Cricetulus griseus: one gene and its partner. Each later gene encodes a partner of the first gene's protein in a complex. Links are inferred from orthologs where the notes say so. Each region holds a gene or a part of one and is shown on either strand. Other genes may lie near its edges.

The links. Proteins that work in one complex are often made in the same cells at the same time.
Region 2: Lsm6 (region 1) and Lsm7 share a complex: the UniProt entries of both Homo sapiens proteins name them as parts of the precatalytic spliceosome. The link is inferred for Cricetulus griseus from reciprocal best matches to the Homo sapiens genes LSM6 and LSM7.

Annotation. Positions count from the first base shown.
Region 1 is NC_048596.1:154,693,496-154,698,645, reverse strand, and holds the start of Lsm6 (U6 snRNA-associated Sm-like protein LSm6), read left to right. Parts: upstream 1-2,034; 5' UTR 2,035-2,172; intron 2,173-2,575; exon of another isoform or gene 2,576-2,594; intron 2,595-3,434; exon of another isoform or gene 3,435-3,504; intron 3,505-5,150. UniProt on the Homo sapiens protein: Plays a role in pre-mRNA splicing as component of the U4/U6-U5 tri-snRNP complex that is involved in spliceosome assembly, and as component of the precatalytic spliceosome (spliceosome B complex).
Region 2 is NC_048598.1:101,634,054-101,639,075, reverse strand, and holds Lsm7 (U6 snRNA-associated Sm-like protein LSm7), read left to right. Parts: upstream 1-1,981; 5' UTR 1,982-2,045; coding exon 2,046-2,051; intron 2,052-2,911; coding exon 2,912-3,005; intron 3,006-3,878; coding exon 3,879-3,950; intron 3,951-4,541; coding exon 4,542-4,684; 3' UTR 4,685-4,808; downstream 4,809-5,022. Other genes in the region: Sppl2b (signal peptide peptidase-like 2B), read right to left, coding at 1,840-1,890. UniProt on the Homo sapiens protein: Plays a role in pre-mRNA splicing as component of the U4/U6-U5 tri-snRNP complex that is involved in spliceosome assembly, and as component of the precatalytic spliceosome (spliceosome B complex).

The DNA of each region.
Region 1 (5,150 bases):
AGCTGAAAAGGCTGTGTACAGTATGTCAAGCCTATGACACTCCATAAAGGGCAAAATCGCCATGAAAGGAAAAAAATAATGAGTGACTGGTATGGCTGAGAGGAAGGAAGAGGTAAAGGGTCAAAGAACAGAAGGTGGTTAGGGCTGCAGAACTATTCTCTATAATGTCATAATTGGGGACACGGTATTATGCACGTGTCAAAACCTATACAGTGTATATCAGGGGTGCATCCCAATGTCAACGATGGTCTTTGTGTGACAATGTAAGCTTATTATTGTGATACCTGACCTAAGTAAAGCAGACTAAGTTGCCCAATTATTTTTATGATATTAAAGTCTCCTTAATAAGTTAGACTTATGTGCAGGATTTTGAAGACTGCCTTTTGAACCAGAATGTGGAAAAAGTTTTGCACATGTTTTCCTTGTGAATATAGTAAAAGATGATCCTGGGGAGTGTGGGAGGCTGGCTGGTGTTTTGGTAAAGGCCAGTTATAAGCTGCTGAGAAGTTTCTTAGAATAACCACATATCTATAAGTTTGTTGGCCCAACCATTTGTTGCCCTTGAAGACAGTAGCAAGTATCCTGCAGATGAACCAGGCTCTTCCCACTTTCTGCTCACCAGCCAAGCTCAATGGCTGCATCCCAGCTTTGTGGCACAGTAAAAGCAGCTCTGAATCTATCTCTACTACTTATTTCAGTCTACATATGTAATGTATATTTGATAATTAAAGCAATCAGTGAGGAACACAGTACAATTCTTTTGAGATAAGGTTTCAAATAGCCCAGCTGATCTCAAACTCATTTTGTAGCCTCAAATGAGCTTGGATTTCTGATCCTCCTGAAGCCACACTTGGGTGTGCACTGCTGTGCCCACCACTGTGGTGCCAGAGATGTTAATGCACACCAGGCATGCCATCAACTGAGCCAAATCCTCAGCTTCCAGTTTGATTTACAAAGCAGCCTGTTTTAGGGACAGGGCATAGCACTTTTCTTCTCTGCAGACAGTTATTTGATTTAAATGTGACTTTACTTGTGTTCTTAATTTTATATTTTACATTTCAAGAGCCTAAAATGCTGTCTTATCAATGTCTGTAGTTGACGGTCTTCGAGTCAGCTGAGGTTTTACAGAGGATAGAAAGATATGGCTGTTCCTTACCAAATCTCAGCCAGTTCTCTGTCTGTGGCACCAGTCACTGGTCTGTTTCTTTCGCCATTCACTAAGAGGCTCTTAGGAAAGGAGGAACCACTTTCTGTCTCAGGAAAAAGTTCTGCATTGTAGGACCTGTAAGATCTAACAGGGTGTGTAGCTGTTGTTTGAAGGTCTTATAACTGTGTTGATGATTAAACATCAGAAACAATTAAAATATAAATCTTAAATACAATATAAAAGAGAAATTAAAATATAAATGTAAAATATAAATGAGAGCATGGGTGTAGAAAAAAAGGAATCAAGTCTTCCTGTAATCTCTTCCTTCCATAAACAGTCAGCATACACTAAGAATTCATGCATTATCCCCAACCAAGTTCCCCCACAGCACTTAAATGGTATCTGCATGCTGTTTCCAATTAAACTAATTTGTAATGTCTTTTTACAATTGGCGCCATTGTAATAGAGTTGCTTTAAATTATTTATATTTTTGTAGCAAAATTGCTATGGAAACAATCTCTAACAGTAACTTAAACTTCATACATTTAATTAATATTCAGAAGTCGGTTGGGAGCTTGAGGCTTTTAACTTTTATTTGCTTTAAATTATTTAAGGCTATTTGGGGTACTTAATAGCCTATTATTTTAATCGTAAGTTTCTGTTTCCTGTCATTTTTAAGGTATTCTTTACTGTATTGGAATCTCAAAAGATTACTTCTAAATTTTTTTTCTTGGTTGTTTTGCTTTTGATTCGATTTTCTGGCAAAAAAAAAAAAAAAAAGACGGCAACATCAGAACACCGGCATTTACTTCAGCCCCTGGATGCTGAATTCACCACTGAAGAAACCAATTCTTGGAAGTGAGCGTTATGGAACGGCCTGATCCTTTTGGTCCCCGCGGGCTGCCGTAGGCAAGGAGGCCGCTGATTGGGTGAGGCAGCGAAGCGCGCTGCCGGGGGCGGTTTCGGTTTTCGCCGCGCGCGTCCGCGGAGGCCCGGCCTGTGAGGGCTCCGGATCCGGCTGCGAGGTGAGCCCGCGCGCGGCCCGGGAGGGAGGGGCGGTGGGGCGGGTGGGTGCTTGGAGCGGAGCGGTCGGCCTAGGCCGCGGAGGGCCGGGGCGGGCGGGGTTGCGGCTGGAGCCCAGGCCGGCCTGCGAGCAGCGGAAGGCCGTCAGGGCCACGCGGCCTCGCGCTCCCGCGCCGTGCGGTCCTGCCGTGCGCGCGCCGGGCGCCGGCTGTGTCAGCCCGGGTTAGGCGGCCGCCGCTCCCGCGCCCCCCTCCTCCGTGCGCGCTCGAGTCCCTCCACACGAGGACACGAGGAGCCGGGGAAAGGATCCCTGCTGGGCGCTTCCGTCTGCCCACTCCTCTCCTCCTGTGTGTGCCTGCTTCTCTTTCCGCTAGTACTACCAGAAATACTCGGTCTTCTGTCTACGTTAAACACATGCAGCCAGGTGTAACTTTAACATTCATTGCTTTTGTTTTGTCATTGCCTGGGTCCCATAAGTGACTCCGGTGTTTCCCCGATGGCTTCATCTTAGCGTCCATGCGATCCTGGGATGCACTTCCCGCCCTTGACTCTATTTCTCACCATCTCCTTGGACAAGTTCTCAGAGGAGAAGTCATTGGGTTAGATAGTTCTTGCACGTTGCCGGGTTGGTTCTCTTTAAAGTGTTAGTAAATTACCTCGTTCGTGTGTGACACCGGTTCTTTCACCAAATCCGTGAACACGCCTCCTGTGTTTCTAACAGTAGCAGAGTACAGCCTCTCTTTGGAATCGTTACTGATCTCGTTTAAACTTGCACGGAGTTTCTCAGTCTGGCCTTGAACTTTGGATCTTCCAGCAGTTGTGGTTCCGGGGTTACTTCAGGCATTGTTATTTTTTATTGTAATGCCTGTCGTTCTGCCATCAAGGTTTTCCTGCCGAATCTTCGTAGGAGGGGCAGGGAGAGAGAGAGAGCTGGTATTAACTGTGTGTGTTGGTATTACTGCACAACTTAACCACGTGCTTACTGGTATTCTCTCTCTCTCTCTCTCTCTCCCTCCCTCCCTCCCTCCTCCCTCCCTTCCTGTCTCTCCCCTCCTCCTCCCCCGTGTGTGTGTGTGTGTGTGTGTTGTGTGTGTGTGTGTGTGTTGTGTGTGTGTGTGTGTGTGTGTGTGTGTGTGTGTGTGTGTGTGTGCGGTGTGTGTTGGTATTAACTGTGTGTGTGTTGGTATTACTGCACAAGTTAACCAGATGCTGGAACAGAAAGACATAGTCAGTAACCATCTAGCATAACTCCCTTATTTTTCAGATGAGCCTGGGGCCATGAGAGGTGAGATGGGTAGCAGAGGAGATTAGAATACAGGTTACCTGCCTCCCAAGTGAGTACCCTTAACTACTGCATCAGGTCTTCTCTCACTGAAGGGTGGCCTAATAGAATTTTTTTTATTTGATTTTTTTTTTAATTCCCTGGCTTGCTTTCTCCTTTTATAATGAAGGACTGGAAAATAGAAAAGTCACTTTTTTTGTGTGTCCAGAACTAGAAATTTATTAGAATGCCAACCCATTCAAGATTTTAATGGTTGTTTTCAGGTTCTCAGTGTTGGGATAAAATACTCCTGATAAGTAAGACAGTTGTCCCTCAGTATCTGAGAGGGACTGGGTACAGAGCTCCCAATATTAAAAAGTGCATGGATATTCAAAGTTCCATATGTGTGTTTGCATATAACCTATGCAGTCTTCCTATGTTGTTCACATCATCTCTAGATCACTCACAATGTGTAATAGGATGTAAATGGTTGCAATGGAATATTGCTTAGGGAGTAATGACAAGGGAAAAGCCCTTTAGCTCTGTAACAGGTAAAACCATTGGAGCTGTAATTGCAACTTCATGTTACTAGATGTTGGCTGGATACACAGATAAGGAGAGGTGACTAGTTTATGTACTCATCATCTGGTTCTCATTTACATCTTGATTATTCTAAAGTACCTTGCTTGTTGTTTAAACCAGAAAATAAGGTTTGAAGAGGAGGGGAGGAGGTGGTAGTGGCAGTCATTCTGTGAGTTGACACGTTGCATCATATAGTCCTTTGTTGTAAAGGACTAGACTCTACACCAGTGGTTCGCAGCCTGTGGGCCGAGTCCATGAAAGACCCTTTCATGGAGATCACATAGCAGATATTTACATATGATTCATAACAGTAGCAAAATTACATTTATGAAGTAGCAATGAAAATAATTTTATGGTTGGGGTCACCACACATGAGGAATTATATTAAAGGGTTGCAGCATTAGGAGGGTTGAGAACCACTGCTCTACACTGTAGACTGTTGAGGGATGTCCTTGGCTTCTCTTCACTAGAGTCTGATTCCCGCTTTGACAATACATAATGTCTGTAGACATTTCCAAATGTTCCTAGAGGGTGGGGCACAAAAATCACCTTTGGTTGAGAACAACTTGCTCTTAGGAATTACCGTAGGCAACTTGATGTCAAAGTGCTTATGGTCAAGCCTGGCAACCCGAACTCAATTGCTGAACCCCACTTAGTGTAAAGAGAGAACAGACTCCCAAAAGTTATCCTGTGGCATATGCTTATTGCCCCTGCCCCACTAAATAAAACAAATGAATAAAAGCAATAAAAACAAAAAGCAAAGGACAGCCTTTTGGCTGAGTTAGCTACAGCAATCTGTGTCTGAACAGGCATCTTTGTAGATGTGGGTGTCTTGCCTTCTAAGCAAGTGCCCCTGCTTTCCTTTCTTGTATCACCTACTGGTCATTCATGAAGGTCTTACTGACTAGCAGGGTTAGAGTAGCTGGACCTGTGGTGTGTAGGTTGCTGAGGAGGGATTGGGACAGGGCTTTTGTTTGACACTGGCTTTGAATGCTTCTTCTACAGGCTTGCTCAGTCTGTTTAGGTGCCAAGGCTACCTGTCCCCTTAAAGTTTAAAAAATCTCTGTAGGAGACTGGATCTGATATGCTTAGCATATCACTAGGTGAATAAAATTGACACACATACCATACCTCCTT
Region 2 (5,022 bases), on another chromosome or scaffold:
GCACTGGGTCCAGAACTGCCACCAAGCTACCTCCTGCTCAGAAAAGCTAGCCTCACTACTGGGCTGTTGTGACCAGGCTGAGAATGCCACCCCTACTGTTCCCCTCCAGAGGTGGGAAAAGCAGGACAGCTGTCACAAGCAGGATAAAGTCCAGGTGGTGCCCACAGCCTGCCAAGGTAAAATCCCCAGGAACACAGCTTCACTGCCAGCCTGGACCCAGGCCCTTCTGCTCCATTATCTCTAACTCCGAGGAGGAAAGTCCCTGCTGTAGGGAACCACCACAGATGCCACCTCCAGGCATCATGTGCTCATCCCCGGGGGAAACACCATCTCTTACACCTAGGGCTAGCACCTGCTGCCCACAGCACCCTTCTTCTCCCCTCCTTGGCAAACTCCTATTCATCCTTCAGAACCTCCCAGTGTCTGTCCCTAAAAAACCCTCCATCAGGTCAAATAGACCAGTAAGAAAGGCCCGGGCCGGCCAGGGCAGGTCCAGTAGAGACTAGACAACCAGGGGCATTCTGAAGTCAAAGAAAAGACAGGGAGAGCCGGGTGGTGGTGGCGCAGCCTTTAATCCCAGCACTCAGGAGACAGAGGCAGGCGGATCTCTGTGAGTTTGAGACCAGCCTGGTCTACAGAGTGAGTTCCAGGATAGGCTCCAAAGGCACAGAGAAACCCTGTCTCAACCACCACCACCCCCTAAAAAAAAGAATAGCCTTGGTGGACATCACCTGCCCAAAGACGGAGGCTTCCAGACAGGCCAGTGGCCTGGTAAAAATGAGGCAGAGAGAGCTGAGGACTGCTGGCAGGGTGGGGAGCCCTGACACACTTTCAAAAGCTCATGCCCAGCCAAGAGCGGGATGTGGGGACAAAAACGTCAAAGGGGGATGTGGGCCACATGGTGGAGAGGCTAGGAACGCCACGCCTGGGTAATGTCTTAACTTCTTAGCCAATCAAGGAAGAGCATGCCAGTTGTGCCAGTGTTGGGAAGGCTGAGGCTCAGTTACAAGTTCAATGCTAGCCTGGGCTATAAAAGGAGATCCTGTCTCAAGATTTTGTAATCTTGAAAAAAAAAAAAAAGTATTTGAAAGAACGATCCAGACCCAGGGTCCATGAGAGAAGATGAATATATAGAATAACGTGCACAGGCCACCCTGTGGGCCATCCGCATTAGAACCCAGCAACTGCCCCGTGTGCCCGAGGCTGCAGCCCTTCACGAACCATTGGGACTGGAGCCTGATGCCACAGAAACAAACAAGAAATCTAACAACTAAGCCAAGTGTTGTGACGCAGGCCTGGCATCCCAGCACTTGGGAGACTAACAGGGTGTTCAGGGCCAGCCTGGGCAACATGGCAAAGTCAAGAGACCATCCTGGGCTGCAGCGCTTGTGGGAGGCCAGCGCGCATTACAGAATGAGTTCAAGGCCAGCATGCGACTGTGTCTCAGCAAGCGACGCTCACCAAACGTCCTGCCTCGGCACCGGGTCGGGGCGCATCCCGCGGCACCCGGAGGCCCCCACGGGTCCCCCGCGTGTTGCATTGACTGACCCAGAGGTGAGGAACCCCTCCTGCCCAAGGTCACGGAGCAGAAGCCGGGATGCAGGGCTGCAGGCACCCGGGGACCCTCCCGAGCCCCTGGGGGAGGAGGACGGGGACTCGCCCCATTCTGCAGAAGAGGAAACTGAGGCTGGCAGGGGCGGCGGCGGCAGTTGGGGCCCCGGGGCGCAGGGCGGGCTAAGCCCGGCCCGAAGTCTGCGGTGGCGACAGCGAGGGGACGACAGCAAGGTCTCGGCCACGGTCACGAGTGGTGCAGCCGAGCCGACCAGCCGTGGCGCTCACCTGGGCCGCGAGCAGCAGCAGCAGGGCCGCGGCGAGCCGCGCCGCCGCCATGTCCGCCTGTCCTGCCGCAGCTCTAGGCGGAAGGTTTCCCGGCAACGCCTTCGGGACCCCGAGACGCGCACGCGCCGGCCCTGCGCGTGCGCGGGCCCGCCCCTCGCTAGAAGTGGGCGGTGCGGAGCCTGCGCAGAGCAGCGCAGGTCGGCAAGATGGCGGTGAGCATTGCTGGGTCGCGGAGAGAGCGGGGTTCCCCCCGAGGGACTGTAGACGCGAAAACTGGGGGCACAGGAGGACCAAAGAGAGGGGGGCGGACACCCGAAGACGGATAGGGAGACAGGGACGCGGAGGAATAGGAATCACGTGGGACTGCACACCGGGCGTCTTGAGGAAGCAGACCGGGAACCTGGGGAAGCAGACCCGGAACCTGGGGAAGCAGACCCGGAACCTGGGGAAGCAGACCCGGAACCTGGGGAAGCAGGCGGGGAACCTGGGGGTGCAGACCCGGAACCTGGGGGTGCAGACCGAGGAACCTGGGGGTGCAGACCGGGGAACCTGGGGGTGCAGACCGGGAACCTGGGGGTGCAGACCGGGGAACCTGGGGGTGCAGACCGGGGAACCTGGAGGGTGCAGACCGGGGAACCTGGGGGTGCAGACCGGGGAACCTGGGGGTGCAGACCGGGGAACCTGGGGGTGCAGACCGGGGAACCTGGGGGTGCAGACCGGGGAACCTGGGGGTGCAGACCGGGGAACCTGGGGGTGCAGACCGGAGGGGGAACCTGGGGGTGCAGACCGGGAACCTGGGGGTGCAGACCCCTGGGGGTGCAACCTGGGGGTGCAGACCGGGAACCTGGGGGTGCAGGCAGGGGACATGAGGATATACACAGGGGGCATGGGAATAGAGAGAGATGCAGACTCAGCGACCTGGAATTTAGTTGGGGGAACATGGGAGATGGAAATGAGTTTGCAGACAGTTATGAGGGCTGCAGGATGGTCAAAAGGAGTCGCTGGGTGCCGGGTCCAGGCAACAAGGATATGGGAAGACTGGGTCTCACTCCTCAGCTCCTCCACTCTCCAGCAGGACAAAGAGAAAAAGAAGAAAGAAAGCATCTTGGACCTATCTAAGTACATTGACAAGACCATCCGAGTGAAGTTCCAGGGTGGCCGGGAAGGTGAGTGGATGCAACAGGGCCCCTAAGAATCGGGGTTGCGACAAGCAAGGGAAAGCCTCACAAGGCAGGCATTTTAACTCTTAACAAAGGCTAAGCTTGGGCCATCCTGTTACTTGAGAGGTACCAGTATGTCTCAATTGTGGATGGGGAAAATGAGTCCCAGGGAAAGAAAGCCAGGTGCGGTAGCACCCACACCATTATTGCTGGAGCCTGAAGGAAGAGGCCAGAAAGCTGGGAGGACATAGAAGAAGGAGGCAACAGGGGGATGGAAGGAAGGCATCCCTTCAAGAGCCTGGAGGTAGCAGGGACCCAGGAGGTTTCCAGTAGCAGGATCAGGGAAAGTTCCAGCCAGTCTGAGCTATGTGGCAAGACCTGTCTCCAAAAATCAACCAGGGCTAGGCTATAGCTTGGTGGATAGAGGGTTGGTTTAGTGTGCATAAAGCCCTGGATTTTATCTCCAACACCATGGAAACCAGGTGTGGTTGTACAAGCCTGCTATTCCAACCCTAGGAAGGTAAACACAGAATCGGGAAGTTCAAGATTATTTTCAGGTTGCCTAGTGAGTCTGAGGCCAGCCTGGGCAAATGATACTCTCTCATACAAATGGGAGGGGAAAAAAGGCTATTTTGTGTTACATGGAAACTATACAGAATTCAGTTTGGGGGATGATAACATTTTATTGACACTTGGTCCACCATGAACTCACTATCTATGGCCCCTTCCACACTTGTAGGAAGAGAGTTGGGGGTCATAGTCAGCAGGCCACCACATAGGGACATGTCTCCCCATGAGTTCTGTAGTGATAACTGTCCCCATGCCTGGGTCTGTAGTGGGAGGACAATAACATCATCCTTACCCATCTCTCCCTTCAAGCCAGCGGGATCCTGAAAGGGTTTGACCCACTGCTCAACCTGGTGCTGGATGGAACCATTGAGTACATGAGAGGTGAGCTGGCTGTGGTTGTCCAGGGATGCCACCAGGCCCTGTTTCTTCTCCACACCTGTGCAGTCACATTGCCGCAGGTGGTGCTGACCTAGGGTGCAGGTCCCTCCCTGATCACCAGAAAGGTGACAGGCCCACCATGATGGCCCCAGGCTTGAGATTTCAGCTCCTTCCCCTCAGCCCTCCTGGGGATGGCAGAAATAGTAGCTACTGTCCTCTGTCTGGATTGTTTGCCTGTGTCACCAGCTCCAGGACGCATAGGATCTCAGCTTATTCCAGAATAGTACCTGTAATGCCCAAAGAGTGTCCCTTCCTCTGCACCCACAACAATTACTTTCTAATTGCTCCCTGTCTCCACCTCTGGTCCATCCTCCCCGGGGCCTCTGCTTCCCCTGCAGACCACTCCTTGGGGTGAGTATCTGCCCTGGGTTCTTGTAGTATCCATGCCTACAGTCGGCTCTGAGACCCCAGGGCCTGGGTGTGTCAGTCCCCAAAAGAAAGATGGGACAGCCCTCTGAGGTCCTGGTTGTGGAGTGCTGGGTGGAAAGGACATGTCTTCAGTTCCTCTTGCCTGTCACCCCCTATTCCCACCAGACCCTGATGACCAGTACAAGCTGACAGAAGACACACGGCAGCTGGGGCTTGTGGTGTGCCGAGGCACCTCAGTGGTGCTCATCTGCCCACAGGATGGCATGGAGGCTATCCCCAACCCCTTCGTGCAGCAGCAGGATGCCTAGGTGGAGAGCGATCTGGCCCCAAGGACCTTCCTTCCTGTGTGAACTTTGTTTGGTGTTTTACTTTTGGATTTTGTTTCTGGTTTTTTATTTTGTTTTTTAATAAAATTGCCCACTTGAGCACCCAGGTGTCCTCTCCTACCCCTTCTGCTTTGTCACTTTGGTCATCTGAGAAGCCAGGGGTGGCTCAGGGCAGAACACAGCACAACTTGAGATTCGAGATTAGCAAAGGGACCAGAAAAGCCTGGGCCCCTGAGGTCCCCTCAGCTGGGCCCAGCCTCACCTCATAGCCTTTCCTCTCCTGGGCTGTGGCAAGAGGACACCACCCTCTGGATCCTGCC